Linked DNA regions of Arabidopsis thaliana. The protein of the gene in region 1 interacts with the protein of each later gene in a pairwise test. Each region holds a gene or a part of one and is shown in the gene's direction. Other genes may lie near its edges.

What was found.
Region 2: the proteins of AT5G55380 (region 1) and AT1G65985 interact in a protein complementation assay, tested with the Arabidopsis thaliana proteins (one large-scale study listed by BioGRID).
Region 3: the proteins of AT5G55380 (region 1) and AT1G68380 interact in a protein complementation assay, tested with the Arabidopsis thaliana proteins (one large-scale study listed by BioGRID).
Region 4: the proteins of AT5G55380 (region 1) and AT1G30080 interact in a protein complementation assay, tested with the Arabidopsis thaliana proteins (one large-scale study listed by BioGRID).

Annotation. Positions count from the first base shown.
Region 1 is NC_003076.8:22,445,793-22,450,539, reverse strand, and holds AT5G55380 (MBOAT (membrane bound O-acyl transferase) family protein), read left to right. Parts: upstream 1-2,586; 5' UTR 2,587-2,668; coding exon 2,669-3,694; 3' UTR 3,695-3,916; downstream 3,917-4,747. Other genes in the region: EDM2 (ENHANCED DOWNY MILDEW 2), read left to right, coding at 46-87, 250-360, 504-575, 679-797, 903-966, 1,063-2,388; AT5G55370 (MBOAT (membrane bound O-acyl transferase) family protein), read left to right, coding at 4,424-4,747. UniProt on the Arabidopsis thaliana protein: Catalyzes the final step in the synthesis of long-chain linear esters (waxes).
Region 2 is NC_003070.9:24,562,311-24,571,200, reverse strand, and holds AT1G65985 (transmembrane protein, putative (DUF247)), read left to right. Parts: upstream 1-2,234; 5' UTR 2,235-2,444; intron 2,445-2,581; exon of another isoform or gene 2,582-2,705; 5' UTR 2,706-2,730; coding exon 2,731-2,909; intron 2,910-4,817; coding exon 4,818-5,403; intron 5,404-6,602; coding exon 6,603-6,706; intron 6,707-8,039; coding exon 8,040-8,257; intron 8,258-8,339; coding exon 8,340-8,623; 3' UTR 8,624-8,803; downstream 8,804-8,890.
Region 3 is NC_003070.9:25,634,935-25,639,501, reverse strand, and holds AT1G68380 (Core-2/I-branching beta-1,6-N-acetylglucosaminyltransferase family protein), read left to right. Parts: upstream 1-2,039; 5' UTR 2,040-2,108; coding exon 2,109-2,648; intron 2,649-2,930; coding exon 2,931-3,569; 3' UTR 3,570-3,664; downstream 3,665-4,567.
Region 4 is NC_003070.9:10,550,140-10,556,006, reverse strand, and holds AT1G30080 (Glycosyl hydrolase superfamily protein), read left to right. Parts: upstream 1-2,711; 5' UTR 2,712-2,839; coding exon 2,840-2,912; intron 2,913-3,028; coding exon 3,029-3,371; intron 3,372-3,543; coding exon 3,544-4,267; coding exon of another isoform or gene 4,268-4,285; exon of another isoform or gene 4,286-4,689; coding exon 4,690-4,776; 3' UTR 4,777-5,152; downstream 5,153-5,867.

The DNA of each region.
Region 1 (4,747 bases):
TCTGAAGCTTGTACCTGACCAGACCTATTATTACTTTTTGTGCAGATTGTTGATAGGCTGCATTGGTATGCAGATGATGGTGATATGGTGAGATTTGCTCACAAACGTTATCTGTTGGGTTTAATTTTATTATTTTGTTTACCTCTCTTAAGTTTTTTTCTTATATTCTGAAGTATGATCTTGTTAGTATAATGATCAATGTCTTGTGCATAAACAATGATGTCTGGTTTCTGGGATCTCTTCCAACAGATTGTCGACTTCTGTTGTGGTTCTAATGACTTTAGCTGTCTGATGAACGCGAAGCTTGAAGAAACGGGGAAGAAGTGCTTATATAAAAATTACGATCTTTTTCCAGCGAAGGTAATGACTTGTGTGTGTGTGCCTACTATTGTCGTAAGTTGTAAAGTCTTATCACTGATACGGAAGCAACATATGTTAGATCGTGGTGTGTTCTATTCATCAGTCTTCTAGGATTACTCATTGATTAGCTATCTTACTTTCAGAATAATTTCAATTTTGAGAGAAAGGATTGGATGACTGTAAGTAAAGATGAGTTGGAACCAGGTTCAAAGCTGGTAAGACACAAATTTCCTTTAGTATGAACTTTGTGTAAGCTCCAGTGTCATTGAAATAGTTTGAGTAGTATCTGACTGTTTATATTTTTGGAATTATGAGTAGATTATGGGGCTAAATCCACCATTTGGAGTCAATGCTTCTCTTGCAAACAAGTTTATTACCAAGGCTCTTGAGTTCCGCCCAAAGATTCTCATTCTCATTGTTCCTCCCGAGACTGAAAGGTTTCAGTTTCCATCTATCTCATCTGCTCCTCTGTACCATTCCATAACACTAATATATCGACTCCTCTCTCTCTCTCTTGTTAAATCTATCACTTTTCTCAACAGGTTAGATAAAAAGAAGTCATCATATGTGCTTATATGGGAGGATAAGACGTTCCTATCTGGAAATGTAAATCTTTCGCTTTTCTTTTGATTTTGCTTTTTGAGAGATTGAGCCTTTATTGAGTTTCAGTTACATGTTATGCTTCTTGCCTATTCCTTTCAGTCATTTTACCTGCCTGGTTCTGTCAATGAAGAAGACAAGCAATTGGAAGACTGGAACCTTGTTCCTCCGCCACTTTCTCTCTGGAGTCGGTCCGACTTTGCAGCCAAGCACAAGAAAATAGCGGAGAAGCATTGCCATTTGTCTAGGGATGTGGGGAGCTCAAAGTTAAAGATAGTGGAAGAAGAAGCAAACGCATCTTTGCATCCACTTGGAGCTTCTGATGGCATGTGTGATGATATTCCTATGGAAAAGGATGAACTTGAGGTAGCTGAATGCGTTAATAAAATCTTAGTCTCTGAGAAAATCGACACAGTAGAAACTGTAGCACGTGTACATCAGTCAGATCACTTGTCACGGAGAAGTCAGCTGAAAAAGGAGGGAAAGACCAAAGACTACTCTGGTAGGAAGCTTGGGAAATCTATGGATTCTAATAATGTGGATTGGAAGAGCAATGACATGGAAGAGGATCAAGGAGAGTTGAGTAGAGCACCAGAGAGCATCAAAGTAAAAATTCCCGAAATGACATCTGATTGGCAGAGTCCTGTTAGGTCTTCCCCAGATGATATATATGCTGTCTGCACATCAATTTCCACTACAACACCTCAAAGATCTCACGAGGCTGTAGAAGCATCTCTGCCTGCAATAACAAGGACAAAAAGTAACTTGGGAAAGAATATTAGAGAACATGGTTGTAAAGTGCAGGGCACTGGAAAACCTGAAGTGAGTCGGGATAGGCCTAGCTCTGTGAGAACTTCTAGAGAGGACATCTACACTGTTCGTCCATCGCCAGAAAATACGGGTCAGAAACCGTTTGAAGCTTTTGAACCATCTTATGGTGCAAGTTTGTCCCATTTCGACGATGGTCTTGCTGCTAAGTATGGTGGTTTCGGTGGAGGCTATAGAATGCCGGATCCTCCTTTCCTACCGGATCAGTTTCCATTGAGAAATGGTCCTAACGAGATGTTTGATTTCCGAGGATATTCAGACCTTGATAGAGGGATTGGTCAAAGAGAATATCCACAGCAGTACGGTGGGCACTTGGACCCCATGTTAGCTCCTCCTCCTCCTCCAAATCTGATGGACAATGCATTCCCATTGCAACAACGTTATGCGCCTCATTTCGATCAAATGAATTACCAGAGGATGAGCTCTTTCCCACCTCAGCCTCCATTGCAACCTAGCGGACATAATCTCTTAAATCCTCATGACTTTCCACTGCCACCGCCACCACCTAGTGACTTCGAAATGAGTCCAAGGGGTTTTGCCCCTGGCCCGAACCCGAACTACCCTTATATGAGTCGATCTGGCGGTTGGATTAATGACTAGATCAGCACTCATTATCCTTGTAGTTGCAACATTAGTAGTTTGATTGATCTTTTGTGTCTCACTCTACGAAAGTGTAGGAAGAATAGAAGAAATCTATAACTTTTCTCTGCCACTCACATGTGTAGCTAGTGGGCCTTTTAGCTGTTTAATAATATAAAAGAAAAAGAAGCCAGCTTCTATTGTCTTAAACTTTTGAGTCATATTTTGTGGTAATTCTTTAATACAGGACCACGTCAAACTCTGCTGCTTCCACAGAATTAGCAAACGACAGATCTGAGAAATGGAAGAAAAGTTTAGAAACTTAATCGAGGTATGGATCTCTGCTTTAATCTCTCTATCTTACTGTTATTACATATCGTCTAAACTCTCCAAAGGTGTTCTTCGTCTCCTCTCTATTCTTCCAGTCTGCATTCTGTTTCTTGTTCTTCCTCTGTTCCTCTCTTGTGTGCACTTTTGCGCCATTTCAGTTCTTTTTCTTTCATGGCTTGCAAACTTTAAGCTTCTTCTATTTGCCTTTGATGAGGGACCTTTGTTCCCACTTCCTCCAAAACTCTCCCGTTTCATCTGCTTCGCTTGTTTACCCATCAAAATCAGACAAGACCCTTCTCCAAATGCGATACCAAATCTTCATCCTAAACCTATGCCTAAATGGGTTTTGGCTGTTAAAATTTTGGTCTTGGGCGTCTTGTTACATGTTTATGAATACAGGGATGGTTTGCCTCGGTTTGTTGTCTTGGCTCTCTATTGTCTCCATATTTACCTTGAGGTAGAACTTGTCTTGGTCTTTGTTGGAGCCGTGGTATCTACTCTTCTTGGGTGTAACATCGAGCCGGTGTTCAATGAGCCCTACCTAGCTACCTCCCTACAAGACTTCTGGAGCCGCAGATGGAACCTCATGGTTTCAGCCGTCCTACGCTCAACCGTTCACATTCCGGTTCAGCGTTTTTTCAAACGCATACTCAGTCCAGACGGGGCTATGTTTGCTGGGGTCATGGCATCGTTCTTTGTCTCAGGCTTGATGCATGAGCTGCTCTACTTTTACATGATCCGTAAGCCTCCAACTTGGGAAGTCACTTGTTTCTTTGTGTTGCATGGTGCTGCCACTGCCACTGAGATAGCGGTGAAGAGAACACAATGGTTGAGGCCACCGCACCGGGCTGTCTCTGGTCTTGTAGTTCTGACGTTTGTGAGTGTGACGGGCGTTTGGCTATTCCTCGCTCAAGTGCTGAGAAACAATGTCCATGAGAAAGCGATTGGAGAATGTTTATTGGTTCTTGACCTAGCCAAGTTATTCACTTCTTCATGATTCTTTATTAAAGGCAAAGAGCGGTAGCAGAGCAACCAAACTTTGTTTCTCTTCATTGTTTGAAAACGTATATAGAAGTGTGAGACACGTCGTCTAGTGTGAAACATTCTTGACATGCTATTAAATTGAATCAAGCTCAACAAATTCAATAAATATGGCGTAAATGTTTTCTAAGTTCTAACAAATGATGAAATATGAACATCTTACTTTGTATATTATTAATGCAATATTTGTTAGAAGAATTTTAAAATAAAACAAACTCTGCCAAATCTATAATCTTACTTTAATCATGCCGCGTCGTTTGTCTGGATTTGTCATACGAACATTCCGAATCTATTTGGATTTCTTGATTTTATAATGTAAAAGAAAATGTAATATGGAGTTTTTTCTAAGATTCATTTATCTTTTACTTGCGAATTGAAAATCTGGTAAATACATATATGTTATTTCCAAATCATTAAATAATTGAATAATACAAGTTTAAAAAATAAAAAAAATGAAAGTACATGAGACAATAAACCCTCTAACTTTGAAGTTCTATCCTTTTACCTCTTTGAAAAAAATAGTTTTTGAATGATCCAAAATAAAAATGACGCAAACTTGACAAATTAGAAACGTATTACCAGTTATGGTTTTTGGCATTATTCATGTTCTTCTGGTTGTAGATAACATTATTTAAGTCGCATCATTATGAAACAGTTAGCAACCAACAGAACCAAGAGAGAAAAGATGGAAGAAGAGTTGAGAAACCTAATCAAGGTTTGGATCTCTGCCTTAATCTCCATATCTTACTGTTACTACATCTCATCAAAAATCTCCAAAGGTGTTCTTCGTCTCCTCTCTCTTCTTCCCATCTTCATCATCTTTCTTCTTCTTCCTCTCTTCTTCTCTTCTGTCCACTTCTGCGTCATCTCAGGTTTCTTCTTCACATGGCTCGCAAATTTCAAGCTCTTTCTCTTTGCTTTCGATCAAGAACCTTTAAGCCCACTTCCCTCAAATCTCACCCGTTTCTTCTGCTTCGCTTGTTTCCCCATCAAAATCAATAAAAACCCT
Region 2 (8,890 bases), on another chromosome or scaffold:
GTGGAACGACTAATCGGGGTAAATGCAAATCTTGTTCTTCTTTGGATACATGGTTTGCATTTCCTATGGTTTCTTACTCATGCTTGGAACCATTTGATTTGGTTCTTCTCTTCTCCATAAAATGTGAATAAGCAGTGATTATTATTTTTTAATTACCCTCCCACTACTCAATTTCTCAACAGATTTGATATGACTGATTTTTTTTTTTTCATTTATGTATGATTATTTTAAAATGTGTTTGTAAAGAAATGTTATGCTTATATATTATTATTACTATAGAAAGTTAGATGTTGCTTAATTTTGTGGTTTTTTGTCATGGTACCAAAACATTCTTGGTCCTCTAGCCTTGTTGTCTACTTTTTTGAACAAAGCATCAGAGAGTTTTCACGAAGAGAATTATCTTGAAAAAAAGAAAAAAGAGAGAATTATCTTTGATTATTGTTTGGGACTATATGTTGTAGTCAAAGTCTCATTTTGGTTAAGGCGACAGTTAGAGAAACCGATGGTGAAGCTACGGTTCAAAGAAACCGTAGTATACTATTTTTCCTTATTCTTGAGTTCACTAAACCTGAGGTATCAATTCCCAAAATTGACCATTAATAGCAGACTCCAATGTTAACAAACTTCAAGCATTTGAAAAGGACCATTAATCTACTAAAAAATGGCACCACAGTGACTGTTTTTGGTCATATTGGTCTTAATAAAATCCGAACAACAAAGATGAGTACTCCGTATGTTTTTCATATTGGTTCTAGTTCCAACCACATAAAACTTAGACTTCTTTAAGGAACTACACAAAAAAAACATACTTTTCCAATCCAGAACTACAATATTTTAAAATCGATCGGCAACCGCTTGGTGTTTAGATTTTGAGGTTTTTGTTAAATCTAGTCTAAAACGCGTTTTAAATTTAAAATTAAATTAAGCCAACTTCGTAACTAATGCCCAACCCGAAAGATAAACCCGAAGTGAATCTCAACACGATATCTAAACAATGACACGAAATCGAAATCCTTTGTTTGAAACAAAAGCTTTTCAGCTCGAAATTTAAACCCTGGCCTGAAAGCTTGGGTATTGAGAAACATGAAAGTATAATTTTGGTTGGTTATCTATTATAGTATTATTATTAGTTAAGTAAATAGTCTTATTTATCGATTACTAATGTTTTAGCAATAGTAGTATGACCTGGCCACACACAAAAAAACGCACGATGGGTGTTTTTCTTCTTCTAACTAGTCAACGGTATTAAGTATTAACTTGATGCTGTGAGCCTGCGAGCACGAATCCATATATAAATATATATATATATATATATATATATAATTAAAAGTCCAGAAGAGTTAATGTAAGGAAGCTACGTTCCAACTACTTCATTTACTTTTTTTTTTTTCTTAAAACTACTTCATTATCTAATTAGCTCATGAAGAAAATTATTGAAAATGGTCATCATTAATTGTCATTAAAGTCGTGTTCACATTCTCATTTCCTTTCGCAACACAAAGGGTATGATTACCTTGTTGGATAACCTCTTTAGCACAACTTTATATTTTTTTATTCAATATTTACCTCTGTTCAGTTGATGTATTACCGAGTAAAAAACTAAAAATAATATTTCTGCAGTTTATTCTTTCTTTTTTTTGCCAAAACTGTATTTATCATAAAATTAAGTCGAGGTTTACCAAGCTAATCTAGGCTTGTATTATCATGGCGAAATATGGCAACAATGACTTATTCTATTTTCATAAAGTAACAATTAGGATGAGTTGTACTATTTTCATGTTTTAATAAAAAAAACCAGAAAAACTTTTATAAATTAATAAAATCTGGATTTATATATTTTATTAATTTGTAGAAAAATTTGTCTAATTTCTTAGTTTAAAATAAAATTTCTAATTAAAATAAGTTTTTTTTTGTTGTAAATATTAATTTTCTACAATTAAGTACAAGTGAGAAAGCAAGTATCGTGTGTAGAAGACAACACCAACAAATTTTAATGAAGTAAAAATATTATAGACGAATTCTAACAAAAATTATTGCGAGTTCTAGATGTTTTACTGTATTAATACTTGGAGATCATTGTTATTAACAGAGTGGGACCATTAAAAATTTGAGGCCCATACGAATTATTAAGTATTCCGTATTATATATTTTTATAACTACAAGTTGTACTATTTTTATATTTTTATTCATTGACTTATAGGTTCGCTCTCTGTCAAAAATTTTTATCAATACTAAAAGACACATCTTCCTGCTTTTAAAGAAATCTCTCTTTTTATAACTACAAGTTGTACCATGTTATTCATTGACTTATATATGATCATCTACTTCGAACAAATTTTCATAATACTGAAATACCCCCTCTCTGTCAAATTTTCTAAACAAGAAAAATCGTTAAAGGGTTTAAAAGAGACGGATCTTCTTCCCATAGCTCATCCATATTACCAGTAAGCTTTCTTCCTTATAGTTATGTCTTTAATTGATATATATATATATATATATATATATATATATATATATATATTTATATATATATATATATATATATATATTTATATATATATATATATTTATCTATAAGCATGCATGATGTGAACAAAGATAATAATTGAAACCAATTTTCAAATAGAACCCATCTCGGTTTAGAAATAGATCTAAGAATATATTATACTCGAGTCTTCAACTTTTTATTTGTTTGTGCAAAACAGAAAAAAGTCCTTGGACTAATCCAAGATGGAAGTTCATATAGATTTGGATGAAAAAGTTCAGGAACCCTGCATTTATAGAGTACCAAATCGGATGCGAGTAGTGAAACCTGAAGCCTATACACCCAAGGTGGTCGTCATTGGCCCACTTCATCGTTCTCTCAAATCAACTGCTAAGGACGGCGCTGAAACAAGTAGCAATCCATGGTACGTCAAACACATTACACACACAGACGAATATATATGACGATAAATATATGTACAATATCGTCAATATTTTCTTGATTTCCTTTTTTTTTTGGGCAAATGCTTATATTTTCTTGATAATATATTAAAATAATATTAAAATGTAAAAGAACTCAAAAATTTATCAACAAATACAGCTATCATCTCAATTACGATTTGACCTAATATTTGAATTTGATCCGATCCAATTCAAAAACAGGTTAGTAAAAAAAAAAAAAACAGGTTAGGACTCAGATTTTCGGGAATCTAGATCCGGATAAGTTGGATCCATTTTGATATATATATTTTTTTTAATATATGTATTAGATATATCTAAATATTATATGTCGAAAAAAAAAATCTGTATATTATATAATAAACTGATGAGTACCTGAAAATATCACAAAAAATAAACTTCATTTTAAAAACTTGGAGTATCTTTAATAATGTTCATGAAAAATATGTTAGAAAATGTTCTCAAATGTTTATGAAATCAATCAGATTATATTCTATTTAATACTTTGTTTCGCTATTTTCTTCGGATTCAGATCAAATTCGGGGAATTAGCATATTCAGATCTGAGAAGCTGTTTCTGAGATCTGGAAAATCCAGATCTATTAAATTATAAAGCATACATACTTCCTAGAATTTTGCTCAAAAAAAAAAAAAAGGACTTCCTCGAATTATATATTTTGGTTATTTCTGTTTCTGTTTTTGTTTTCCTAAGGAATATTCCAAAGGATATCACATATTTTTCTTTACAACAAATACCATAAAATTCGTAACAAAGTAAATACCATAATATTTTATAAACTGTTAGAAAATATTTTTGTGTCATTTATATATAGGAAATCTTCTAAATTTCTTAGAAAAAACTTTGTCACTAAATATTATGGTATTCATAATACTTCTTTTCGCATTTTTTGGATATTCTTTTTTAAAAATGTTAATTATTGAAGTCTTTCTTTTTTAAAACAAAGTTTAGAAGAAGTTTAGCTTCAGAATCCGCCAATATTTTTTTCAGAAGTTTTCAAACGGAAGTTAATGGAGACAAGTGTTGAATATTTGAAACTACAATATGCATGTCTTTCGTTTTATCCTTAATTACTACAATCATGTTGAGATGGCCTAATAACCTGAACGCGAATCACACCTACTCTTAGAAACCTCATTTCAATTTAAATGGATGGAATATACATATAACAAATCGTTACCGGTGTCTGTTGATTCCATTCATTCTAAATTACGTTAGTAATAAAATGATTCTCATGCATACTTCAAATCTCCTTCACAATTCGTTTCAAATTAAATGTTTTTTCTTTCTTTTGCTTGACAAAAAAAACTATTTGATTTGAAACCGGTTAAGCAGAATTCGGAATAAAGGAGATTTGAAGTATGCACGAAGCTTTCAAGTTTGGTTTGAATTAAGGCAACAAGGATAAACTCTTAACTCAGTTTTCTCAATTATGCTTTAAAACATTATGCACTAAGTTTCCTTTTAACCGGGAAATAACCTTTTATCAGTTGAAATTGTGTCATAATTTAAACCACCAGAAAAATTAGTGAGTAGCCGACTCAACGGATATACTCAGTTACTCACTCGGAGGGTAGAAACCCAGATCACCCTTTGGTTATAAAACTAAAATAAATAAATATGAACATAAAACCCTATCGACAACCCATTGATAAAAATAATTTGATCAAAAAATAAATAAAGCAAATTCAAATATTGAAAACTATATCAAATTATCGGTCATATTATTCATTGTTAATTATTTTTTAGATAAAAACACCAAGTTTCACAACTTGTTCCTAATTTTGGTTTAGTGGCGTACTGGAATATGATCATTTATATAATTAAAGTTTAATATGTCGATTTATTTTTACCAGGCATCTTAAAAAAGATTATATCAAGATGGAAGTCACAAAGAAGACGTACTTCGAATCTTTCACCAAAAGAGTCGGGGAAGATACTATTGAGGAAATGAGGAAAACCATACAAACCGAAGAAAAAAATATTCGGAATTGCTATGAAGAATCAACTGAATGGATACCATCTGAATTATTCGTAGACCTTATCCTTCAGGATTCGATTTTCATTATGGAGTTAATTATCAGACTTTCTGGATTTGATCGAATACATTCAGATGACAGAAATTTAGACTTTGCAATCGTTATGAATGATTTACTCTTGCTCGAGAATCAGCTTCCCTATTTCATTTTGGATAGCTTGTTCAGTTTCAGTATGACGAAGTATTTGGATTCACACACCCTTGACAGTTTCATCTTGCGCTGTTTTGGCCTAAAGATCGAAGAGAAGAAAAACTTCATGCATTTGACAGACATGTACCGGTGTGTTTATAAAGAATCGCTTGACTACATTCCTCCACGAGAGTACTCACTGAATCGCGTTAAATGGTCTATCACAGAGTTGCGGAACGCTGAAAACCTATCAAATGCAGGAGTTAATTTCAAGGTAAATGATCTTCGATTACGGCTATATCTTCGTTTCTGATAAGCCTTTGGTTCGTTTTTGCTTGGAGTTAAAAATCCTTGCTATTTGAGCTTTTCACTGTCATACACATATTTATTTAGTTTAGAAATATCCTAGGTTTATTTAACAAAACAAAAAAAAGCCTAGGTCTAACAAAACGACTTTGCCCTGATTGTTTCCTCATTTGGCATTTTCATCCAATGATCCACCTAAATTATCCATTTGGATGATCTATTTGAATGATGTTTGTTTAATCTTTTGGTAGTTCATCTAAATAATGCATTTAAATAGATTTTTGTTTGCTTGATCATTTTATATTTCATCTATATACTTATCTAAATAAAAATGGCTAAAATATTCATGCTTTCATTTTAACAATTATCCAACATCATTACCAAATATCAATACCAAACATATCATATTTTGCTGTTTTGGCAAGAAAAAATAATTTTGGCGGGAAAAAAGGTTTTGCAGTTTTGGTGGGGAAAAAAATAATTTTTTGGTTTTGGCGGGAAATATAATTTTATGGATTTTGCCGGAAAATATGTTTTTGCGGTGTTGACGAAAAAACAATTTAGTGGCTTTGGCGAAAAATATGATTGTGCGATTTTGGCGTGAAACCATGATTTAGAGAAAAATTGATTTTACGGTTTGACGGAAAAAATAATTTTATGGTTTTGGCAGAAAAAATGATTTTACAGTTTTGGCGGGAAAAATGATTTTTCTTTTTTGGCGGGGAAAAATAATTTTATGATTTTGACAGAAATTAATAAACAGTGATTTCACGATTTTAGAGTCTTTTTGGATGCAAATATGTGATTTGAAAATATTAAATAAGAAATCTATAGAAAATTGATATTATTTAATATATGAGTGTAAAAAAGGGTATATTTATCATTTATTATTTTTGAATGAATTATCTCCATCCAAATGGTCCAAATAAGTTCATCCAAATGAGTTTGATATTCAGATAATTCATCCAACTAATTCATTCAAATGCTCTGTTAAATTATAAAAAAACAAACATCATTTTTCATCTCCATCTATATGAATTTTATGTGTCTAATTGTTTATTTTATCTTTGGATTATAGATTGTTATTAAACTAGCTTTGAAATATGTATATATATTTTTGGTATGAAGCTTTGAAATAGTTTTGACAAGAACGTTTCTTCTTTTCAGTCATACGATTATTTAGATCTCTCAAAACAAGACGAGAAACTTGACATAAAGATTACGCGAGACAAGTCTGACTCTGAACTTACGAAATTACCAACAAATAAAAGGTAAATAGCATCATTTAAAAAAGTGTGACAATAGAAATTAGATTTGGATAGATCATAGTTTTTTAGATTTTACACACGTATAAAGGTAGTTTGTATATAATTTTTACAAAATTACACACATTTGAATAAATTTCATATTTTAAGGGTATTTTTGATTAAAAAAAGTTATAGAGAAAATACATTTTTGAAATTTTATCGCAATCTTAGTATTAGAATTCCTAATGGTTGAAAAAAGTTGTGGGTTGTCATGTAAACACTAAAATTTTAAAATATAAGATCAGTATTCATGTGGAATTCTAAATTAATACTTCAATTAAAAATACTATATGGCTTCGAATGGTGACGAAACCACACAGTACGATGCAGTTTCAATAGAACAAAAAATATTTACATTATATAAATGTATATATTTTGTTACTATTTAACTCGCTCCATACCTTATCCGCACTTGAATCGTACATCTCCACTCGAAACATATATACATTGGGACTTAGGAAAAAGATTTTAAAAACCTTTAAAGTGAAAACAGATATCAACCGAAAAGTCATAATAAGTTGAGACAACTCTAAAAGAAATTTGTTTCCTAATAATATATGAAGATATATTTTACAAACAATATGATTAAACAACATAACCCTCATAAACATTTATTAAGATTCATATTATAAAATAATATATTATGGTGAACCATGCGATCATTAGTAAAAAAATTATTAAACGAAAGTTTATAATGAGTATACAAAAAATTTCAGTTTCTTAAAAAAATTATAAATATATTCAACAAAATATTATGAAAAAGATGCAACATTTTCTATTTTGTTATGTTAAAGAGAGATAATCCTCGGATGAAAAAGAATCATAATTAACCTAAACTAACTGTTATTTAGGAAATTCAAGATAATGATATAGATAGCAAAGTATATACATGAATACTACAGAGCTAAAGAATGCAGACAGATATTTTGAGTTTACAAAACTAATACTACAAATAATATATATTTGAATAAATGATCAATATAGTTATATATATACTATGTAATATGACCAAAAAAAGAATATACTAAATAAAAAAGATGCGATCAAATATTTTGGATGTATGAAACGTAGAGCTAATTTTGTTATTTGATTTATGTTATGTAACTAGGAACATATGTATTTATACTTATCCTCCATATGTTGGCAATGAAACAGATTTTTACACTTTTACATAAATAAGAGAAACTGGGCCAAAAGACAAAACATATATAAATGATTAAACTTTTTGCATCCCTATTTTCATAGTCACATGTATATATATAAGATGGAAACGTATTTGTTGTGCCTCCTCCTACAGAGAGAGGGTTGAAGGTGTTTCATTGCATGTGGAGTTAAAGAAAGGTTGCTTATCGATGCCGAGTTTCTGGGCTAATGATAGGACAGATATGATTCTAAGAAATGTAATTGCATTTGAGCAGTGCCAGCATGGCATAATACCCTTTACCTCGCACTACATACAATTCTTAAATGCCCTGATAGTTTCCGACAGAGACGTCGAGCTACTCAGCGAAAAAGGTACAAACATCACTAAATCAATACATTTAACTATTAATTAACATATATGAATGAAAAATATGCATGTGTTGCTGGAACATAGGGGTGGTAATGAACAATATGGGTCGGCCAAGCTTGGTGGTGGACATGGTGAACAAGTTAAAGGTTGGTGTGTACGAAGGATACACCTCCCAATACTATGACATAGCCATAGATCTCAAAGCTCACTATAAATCTCGAAGAAAGAGGTGTTGGGCCACCCTCAGAAAAGTTTACTTCAGCGACTTGTGGACCGGCACAGCTACTTTAGCCGCCGTGCTTCTCTTGCTTTTGACTCTGGTTGGGACGGTGGCTTCTGTCATCCAAGCTTACGAAAGCTTCAAGTAACTATATATGCTTTTATAATTCATACAAAAACAAAAAAAAAAAACTATATATGCTTTTATATCGTCCAAAAACTTATTTCCAAGTTTTCCTCATGGATTATTTATGTACTTTGGTGATTGATTCTTGATTTCTCTAAAGATTGTCTTTTAACACGGAACAAGTCTACGAAATTTCTACATTAACTTTTCCTCTTGGCCAAACGTCTATGGATTATTCCCATGCGACGAACCAAAGACTTGATACCCAAAACCAGAAAGATATTACTGT
Region 3 (4,567 bases), on another chromosome or scaffold:
TAAAATGGGTTCCAAACCATTACTTCATTTGGCCAGCCATGGGCTCATACGTTATGTTGTGAAGTTCTCGGAATAACAATAAAATTTCAAATTTTAGAAAATACCACTGTTACTAGCCTACTTTCACCTTGTGGATCATTTTGTTAGCTATACATGATACTATTGTTTGTTTATTTTTTACACTCTAGAATTTGTATCATAGCTAGCAAAATGATCACATATATGTTGTTGTAAAGTTCTCGGAAGCAGCCGTGATGGAAAACGCATATTCTCGTATCACTAGTGAACCCAAATGATCACATATTTGTTGTTGTTTTTAACTCAGCCATCATTACCATGCATGAGTCTCGTCTAACATGACGGTTCTGTAACCCAAATGGAATGGAATGCATTTTTCCTACACTACGTCATGACATTCCCAGGGTTGATGCCACTTGTTTGCACAATTATTGTCTCTTCACCCTACAGCTTTCAACAATGTGCAACTACACGTAAATTTGACCAATCAATTTATTTATCAATATTTATATAGTGCAACAAGTAATTTTCTTTTATTTGAACCAAACAAAAAAGTAATATTCTTTCAGTTTAGAATTCGCAAGGTTGACTTCAACTTAGTTTCATATCAACTATAATTATATTCTGTGTATATAGTTAATGTTTGAATACTCTAATGGCTTTGTATGAATGGCCTGATATAACTGTCCCTCGAAAATCTATTACTTAAGTAGAAAATACATAATATATAAAATCTTCAATTTAATTACATAGGTTAAATCCTTTTCACTCACATAGTCTCATGGATCATTTTTTTTTTTTTGCATCCATGGATCTACAGTTTTGTAAGAAGTAAAAGATAAACCATGAAAAAATCCTATATCTGAGTTACATGAGATTAATTTTCTAACAAAAGCTTTAAGCAAATAATGTTTGTCACTTTCATTTGATAAATAAATAAAAAAATACAAAAAGAGATATTTCGTCTAAGAGAAAACATACGAAACCAATTTCAATAGCTCAACTGGTAAAGACTATTAGACAAAGCATGTAGGTCGCCGTTCGATAAAAAAAATTATTTCCCACGTATGTAATTGTTTCTCCAGTTTACCTCTTGATTTAATGTCTACGCGGTTGAATATATTATCTGTAAGAGTTGGTACCATGTCTATTGCATACTATAAACATCGAGTAAATGAAATTCACATCTTTGTTCACTTAGGTTTTTAATAGCAATCTACACGATCCTGCTTTTATGGCTGCGTCATTTTCATTCTTGTAGATAAAGTCACTCCGGTAGTTATAAAAAAAAACAAATTAGGTTTAACTTGTAGTGCTATATATATATATATATATAAGCTTCATATTGTTTTCATTACGATCTTTTTTTTTATATATACAATGAAATTGTTGCAAGCGTTAAGCAATGTAAACGTGGAGGTTTCAAGGATGTCTTGTGAACGATTACCAGAAAATAATGTATATTATTGACAAGGTATGCAATAAACTTATGAGCAAAAACGAAAGAATGATAAATCATATAGGTATAAGGTATATTAATAAGTAAAAGCAATAAACTTAAACATGCGACCAAGAGATAAAAAAAAGTATATAGCGAAACTACAAGTAAAACATTTAAACCACCATCAATATTATATCCACTTATAACAAAGAAATATGATTTTGGGAAAACGAACTTAAAAAAATATATATTGCATGGACATATAGCGAAATAGTTCATTCAAAGACAAAGATTGGTTAGTCTACTCCTATCAATCTTTTTAAAAAAGTAAATTAATATTGATGTAAGGAAATTTGTAATTTTAGTTTAAAGAATTAATGCTAGTGAAAGAGTAGTAATAAGATGCTACGTATATAACCCAATTGACTTTGCTTGGATCATCAAAAAACTGCCTCAAAATGTTATATTCCATTGCGTGTGTATTTTTGTTTTTACGAGTTAATCACTCACGCCACAAGATCTCCACTTTTACTTGCTCTTCTCCACTTTTTAACCTCATTCCAACTAGGAAGTAAGATCCATGTATCTCTTTTTAACCCTTAAAACATTGGAAACAAGAATTCTCTTACACATGTATCGGTAGTTGGAAATGCCGACCCAAAAGGACCAAAACTCACCATTATCTCAAGTGATAGAGCTTCTCAAGAAACTACTCCACCATTTCCACAATCTCCTTTTGTATTTCTTCATCCTCTGGATCGGCGTGATAGTTGGAATCATTGTTTATCCCTCTCTACAAGGATTATCTTCGCCTTCTTCGTTAACCATCCAAAGTGTCTCCCAACTCTTCTTTGTAACCCCTCCTCCTCCTATTCTTTCTCCTTCATTTCAGGACAATGGGCTTGACATGTTTCTGATACCACTGAAGAACATCATGCACGATATGGAAGATAATGAACTTCTGTGGAGAGCTTCAATGGATCCTAAGATCAGGGATTACCCTTATCCTAGAATCCCGAAGGTTGCTTTCATGTTCTTGACTTGGGGACCTTTACCTTTGGCTCCTCTATGGGAAAGGTTCTTTCGAGGTCATGAAGGTCTTTTCACTATCTACGTTCACACCAATTCGTCTTACGACGAGTTCATGCCGCAAGACTCTGTGTTTTATGGCCGCCGTATTCCAAGCAAGGTCAGCTTCCCAAATTATTAAGAAATTTATTTCGATACATTAATAGGTTTGGAATTAACGTGATAAATAAAATTTATAAATATATTATAAATAATATATATATATATATATATATATATATAACGGATCGAAGTACATGAATACGATATTTTTCCTATCTTTTTTAGTAAATTACATAAAAATATAAGAATATTTGGTATCTTAAAAGAAAACATATTAATTATTACACTATAATACATAAAATAAAATCAATCCAATGTCATTAACTATAAACGTATGCAGAGAGTGGATTGGGGAAACGCAAACATGGTAGAAGCAGAACGAAGGTTATTAGCAAACGCTTTATTAGACATCAACAACGAACGTTTCATTCTTCTCTCCGAATCATGCATCCCTCTCTTCAACTTCTCCACAGTTTACTCTTTCCTCATCGACTCCACTCTAACCCACGTCGACTCCTACGACCTCACAATCGGTCGCGTCCGCTATGACCGCCGCATGTATCCTCACATCCGCATGCACCAATGGCGAAAAGGCTCTCAGTGGTTCGAGCTAGACCGAGCCATGGCCCTCGAGGTAGTCTCTGATACGTTCTACTGGCCAATCTTTAAAGCTTACTCTCGCTGCCCCGACGAGCACTATATCCCGACGCTACTCAACATGAGGCCGAGCCTTGGGTTGCGTAACGCGAATAGGACGCTTACTTGGACTGACTGGAGCAAGCGTAGGGCTCACCCGAGATTGTTTGGTGAGTGGGAGGTTAATGTGGAGTTCTTGGAGTGGCTAAGGATGAAGAGTGTTGGTGATTGTAAGAAAAATGGAGAAAATAAGATGAGACTTTGCTTTCTCTTTGCTCGCAAGTTTTCGTCGACTGCTTTGGATGAGTTACTCCGGTTAGCATCTATCGTCATGTATTTCTGATCACTCTCTTCCCCCTTCGTCCAAAAACAAAGATGCAATCGGTTTAACTACCAAATCTTCTTTAAGTAAGTGAAATATACAGTGTGTGCTTAACAAGTTACTTTCAGTACTAGGGATGTGAGATTAATCAAAGTCCTTGATAAAGTTAGGAACTAGCCTGTCATCAAGTTATAAACAGAAGATAACTTGAGAAACATTGAGAAAACACAAAAGCCTGACCCCCCAATCTCATTTGGTTTAGTCCTCCATTAGCATTTATGAGAAGGTATCCATTCATATTAGCACCTAACTCTGCAGACAATGTATACTCATATGGTAAGAACTTATAGAAGAGAAAAATAGGAAAAGAAAAAAAAGAACAAATTGCTACTAATAGGACTAAAAGTTTTGCCTAGACACCTGAATACTCAAAGAAGAATAAAGTCATGTCAGATATTTAATCTCCTTCTCCCATCTTCTTAAGCGAGATAGAAACTAAGCCACAAATGTTTAACCAAAGAAACACTTGAAAACACTACTACCACCAAGAAATGTGAAGAAGATCTTAATTAAGCAGCTCAATACACATCCATTTTTGGGCAACACTCAAAACGCAATTTATCAAGTTGTAGAAACAGAAACAAAGGCTAAACCACATATAAACAAGACCTTCTCAAGCCAAAAGTCGTAAATGTTCGACAAGAGAAACACTATTAGTAACAGAAATGTGAAGATTTTATCTTAATCAAGCATGTTCTAGTATGAGAAACACCTAAAAAGATAGCACAAAAAGCAAGAACCTAATGAGAAGCACCACCACCAATGGCAAAATTTTCTATACAATTGTTGATTTTTTCCCCATTTACATATTGATTATTCCATTTTGCTATATTTAGTTTTTTTTTTTTTTTTTTTTTATTCATTCAAATTCAATTTTACATATATTTATGTGACCCAAAACATAATTCCAATTCATTTTCTACAAAAATTCAATTTTTGACTTACCATATCACAAATGA
Region 4 (5,867 bases), on another chromosome or scaffold:
CCATCACATCTATCCCCATTAATAGCAATGTTCGTTATTTTTATTTTCCAACAAAATAAAATAAATTGGTCAGTCTTTATCTTTCTTACCAAACTAGATATATATTGGTGGATAAAGTTTGAAAAACAATGGTTAAAGAAGTTTCGTTTCTAGTTGTCAAAGTAGAAAACCTACGTTCAATTTTGCAAGAAAAAATAGATGAGTTTTCTTCTTACTTAAGAGAAATAAATCAATATAAGATTTTTCTGCTTACATAAGAGAAGTAAAATCATTGTAAGAGACTTTAAAAGTTATATATGTTCAAATTTGTTGCATGAAATCTATATTTAAGGAAAAATTTTTTTGACTAATTGAAAAGAAAAACTCGGCTTGGATATAACTATTGATCATGGTAAATTCTAAGCGATCCTCGTTGTTAATCAAGCAATTCTCTTACTGTTATAACATTAAGAATAAGCTATAAGCATCGGGATCCAAAATTTCAGACACAGCTAACAAATTGCTTAGTTCACGCCTAAATATTCGATTAGCCACGAGATATAACAACATTTTTCTTTTTAAAACACGAGATTTAACAATATATGTTAATTTTAATTTATAACCTTTATTACATTAGAATCTCGAGTTAAGATTGTTGAATCAGATCGGAGGAATCTAAGATGTCATAAAGCGCACCACATGCATCAGCTCATTTGTCTTATTCCAAAACAAGTAAGTATACACAGGCATATTCATATGTTGTATATTAATGTATATATGTAGGATGTAACAAATAAACAAGTATCGTTATAGTGAAATTCATCTTCCAAAAGTTACTAGATTCTTGTTTAGCAAAAACAAAAAAGTTACTAGATTCTTGGGTTGGTTACGAAAAAAATAAAATTGGGTCACTTTTGTTGCATCATTTCATAAAGCAGGCTACTTTACATATGTTTTCAGATCTCTATTCCATTTAATATATTTGAAATTTTCAGAAATTAATCAATATCCGATATACAGTATAACCTCTATTTGGGACTGCAAAATTTTATTAATTTAGAGAGGTATTAATTTATTGATAAATTAATATTTATTAATTTATAGAGAGATTTTCTTAATTTGGTAACTTTTTAAAAAAATTTATAAGATTTTTTTCATTATAAAAAATATATTTCTAGAACCAGTTACAAATAAAACATAATAATAATGTCTAGAAAACATTATTAAACAAATAACAAAAGTTTTGGTATAGTAAAATATGAAAACTATAATCAAACAAATAACAAATATGAATTTAAACAAAAAATTATTATAAATATATTTTAAAGAAATTTTTTACATATAATATATATATATAGTTGATATATTTATACAATTATTAATTTATGATATCGATGAGACCATATATTTACATAGAACTTTCCAAAAAATTATTATCTTATTAATTTATCGATTTGTGTCATTTTTTACACTAGTCCCAACTCGGGACCGGAAGAATTTATTAATTTATAAAGGTTATTAATTTATAGAGGTTATACTGTAGTAAGAAGTCCGTTCTATAAGAAAAGTAACAACCCAAACTTCCAAAAATCTGTACAAAATGAAGTTGAATTACAATTATCACCTGGTGTATAGTTAGAGCTTTTATTGTTTTAATATCAAACTGAAAGAAAAAAAAAATTGTTTCAGACAACTAAATTATTGGCTAGGGCCAATTAGGCTGTAAATTTACATATCAACTTTGATTAACTTTTCTTTTTGTAAACTTGTTTAAAACCGTTTTTTTCCATTGATTGATTAATCGAGTAATTAATTTATTTTATTTCATCTAAAACATAAATAATGAACCGTTGTGCAACCTAATTTTTTTTGTGATCGAGCGGGTTGACTAGATGAGTTAGGTTGAATTTAGAAATATTTACTTTTACATGTAAGCTAACGGTATATAAATTCTGAATTGAAACGTAGGATCAGTTTTAAATATGCGACTAAACTCCGTTGAATATCAAATATAGGATTAACTGAGGGTCATACTATAATTTCACGTGAAATACAATTCTAACAATCGTTACAATGTTTTTTAAAAGAGCTTTTATTTCACAAGATGCAAATTGCAATACTATATAAATATAATAAACTGAAGATAAGCGCACTATCCTTCTTATCATTATGATGGTGTGATTTCTACTCTTTACGTTCCATTTTTTTGGTTCACCCAACTACCAAATTTGGGATCCTCCAAATTCTATGCCAAAGACATAATGTTTTTTTTTTCTTTGTGTTTAATAGACATATTGTTAAGATTAAAAACCTATTATAGTGGGCAATTCAATTTTTCCCACCTTTGCCTTTGTCTGAAGAAAGTGTCTTCTTTTAGGCCACTTTTTCATTTTTTTTTTTTTTTGGACTGACATAGTTGGCAATGTGTTGGAAAGAGACAATCTAAGATGTCATATTTTTTTCTTCTTGGGTCCAAAATGTTTTATGAAACCCATGTTGCCTCACAAAGAATGTTTTTGGCAAACACTATCTATTTTTACAATAGACTTCCATAAGATAAACCTATTGCCAAACCTACTCCCATTACAAAACTAACGAGTATAAATTTAAATAACTTATTGAATTATTTTTGGAATTAATCATATTGTCACTTTTATTGTAGAAACCCTATGTCTCACCATAAAACAAAGGCAGGCAAAGTAAAGTATTATCTCTAAATTATAAATTAATAATTATTCGTCGCCTACTTGGTCCCATTTCTCAATTCTTCATCTCTATATCTATCCCCACATTTCATTGCATTGATTCTCTTACAAGCACTTTCTCCCTCAGTCTTTATCTCCCTCTTTCTCTCTTCTCCATGTCTAACATGTTTAGCAGAATTGCCATGACCAACTCTATCGTTCTTCTTCTATTTTCCTTGACTTTCTTAGGTATCGTTTTTGAATAATTGCTTATTTCTGTCTACCAACAAACAAAATTCATTATCTCAATTTCAGTTTGTCATTACACTTTAATTATTTAAATTTCTCTTACATTTTTTTCACAGAACATGGATTGTTGTTTCAAAGGGTCTCCTCTCTTGGCATCAACTATGGTCAAGTCGGCGACAATCTTCCTCCACCGGACAAAGTTCTACAACTCTTGAGTTCACTCCATATCAATAAGACAAGAATCTATGACACAAACCCTCGAGTGTTAACCTCATTTGCCAATTCCAATATCGAGCTCTTTGTCACCGTCGAAAATGAAATGCTTCCCAGCTTAGTAGACCCTCAACAAGCTCTCCAATGGGTCACTACCCGTATCAAACCCTACTTTCCGGCCACCAAGATCGGTGGTATCGCCGTCGGCAACGAACTATACACTGACGATGACTCAAGCCTTATAGGGTTTGTTACATACATCCCCTCATTCCTATAAATTGTTATCCTTTTCAAATCTTGGTCCATTACAAATATGCCCTACTAACCAAATCATGGTAGTCATGTGGGTATCATCCTGAGATCCTCTAGTTCAAAAAAAGAAGAAAGTATTCAACCTCGTTATTGCTATGATTCGCAGGTATCTTATGCCTGCAATGATGAGCATTCATGGGGCTTTGGTCCAAACCGGACTAGACAAGTACATTCAAGTATCGACTCCGAACTCACTATCCGTCCTTCAAGAATCTTACCCTCCATCCGCCGGATGTTTTAGGCCGGAAGTAGCTGGCGTAATGACACAGCTACTAGGTTTCTTGCGTAACACGAATTCCCCCTTCTGGATCAACGCTTACCCTTACTTCGCTTACAAGGATTCCCCAACAAAGATCCCATTAGACTACGTCCTCTTCAACCCTAACCCTGGAATGGTTGACCCCTATACCAAGTACCGCTATGACAACATGCTCTACGCTCAAGTAGACGCTGTGATCTTTGCCATGGCGAGGCTTGGCTTCAAAGACATCGAAGTTGGGGTCTCGGAGACTGGATGGCCGTCTAAAGGCGATGGAGATGAGGTTGGAGCCACTGTGGCCAACGCAGCCGTTTATAACAAAAATATTCTAAGGAGACAACTTCAAAATGAAGGAACGCCATTGAGACCAAACTTGAGTTTTGATGTTTATCTATTTGCTCTTTTCAATGAAGACCTTAAACCAGGACCAACCTCTGAGAGGAATTATGGATTGTATCAGCCTGATGAGACCATGACTTACAATGTAGGTTTATTATCGTCGTCATCATTAACATCAACATCAACTACTTCTTCAACTTCTATTATTTCCCTCACTTCCTCTGCCTCCACGGTATGTATCAACATTTAACTTTACTTGCTCTGTTTCTACTAGATCTCTTACTTCCATATTTCTTTCTTTTTAATCTTTATATAGCACATTAAATCCCTTGAAAAAAGCTTTGATTGAGAAACATTTTTAAAACAAATTCTGACCTGTTGTCTAAAAAAGAAGAGAATTGTGACGTTTCTTTCTTCTAATTGTGACGTTTTATACTTGAAAAGTTCGGCTTTTCTAGAACATATTCTTACCAAACATATTTATTTTAACATATTTCTTGATTAATAGCGATAAAGTATACATTTTTTTTGGAGCGATATGATTAGTACATGATATTTATGATTATCCTCACCATCTGATTTTTAGATACATATTAGTTAATTAAAAATTTGCGGTCTTAATTATTGCTTATTATGATATTTTAATTTAAACAGGCTTTAAAGAAGGGAAAGCAACGGTTGATGTATTGGACATGCGTTTATTTGTTGGCCATTCACATGCTAATTAGAAGATCGTACTAGAAGCAAAAACAAATTGAGAGAGCTTCTAAGTGTAAATAGAGAGTCCACTAATGCGGTCCAATTTTTCAACGAGAAGAATTAAATTATTCTCGAAAGTGTCTCAGATGATTCTTTAAAAGGGGAAAAAAACACTCAGAAAAATTGAGAAGGGAATGCAGTACTGCAAAGCGAATCCTATGTATAAAAAACTGACGATTCATATTATAGAACTTTATTTGTATTTGTCTTACTAACGTGTTAATTACTTTCGTTGTCTAAATAAAAAGTGACTAAAATTAATCATCAACTGATAAGGTATACAATAATGATTCGTATACAATAATGATTCATGAATCATATAAGAACGATCGTGTTTATTGTTTAAATCCAAAGGATACAATTTCATTTGAGGCATTTTAGTAACCACATTCATTGCATAATTTCATTTAAAATGTTTGATTTCACATTATGTACTACATATGAATCATATTTCAGAAAGCTAAAGAAATTACTCTAGATATAAAGAAGACCCCATATAGTACTACTTTTACGAGAAGCATAGAATATAATAATAATTATTACTAAGCAGAAAATATTGTCATTTTCAACGCTCCAAATATTACTTTAAAGTACATGATATATAATGTTATCATCAGATATCGTTTAACAGAAACAGAAAAAAAGAAAGATGATATCATATATTTTATATAGAAATTTATTGATTGGTCACACCGAAGGTGAAGGCTCTTTTATCTTTTACCTTTTATCTTTTGGACGTGGAATCCATAAACCTTAGACATACGATACCTTCCTTTTCCATCTCACCGTCAACATTCGATATTTTAATATATTGTCTGCTCTTACACATGCATGCATTATATCTGCATGTATATGTGGTATGGCTTCGTACGTGCACACACATGACACTACTCATACATGCATACATGACACATCTTACATGTATGAATATGTGTATATGTCATATGTGTGGTGGATACTCATTAATTCACCAATTGATGTAAAAGAGGAATGCTCCATTTTTCTAACGGGAGAGAAAGAAGAAGTTAAAAATTATCAAAACAAAACTAAAGTTTATTTATTAGGAGGAAGCA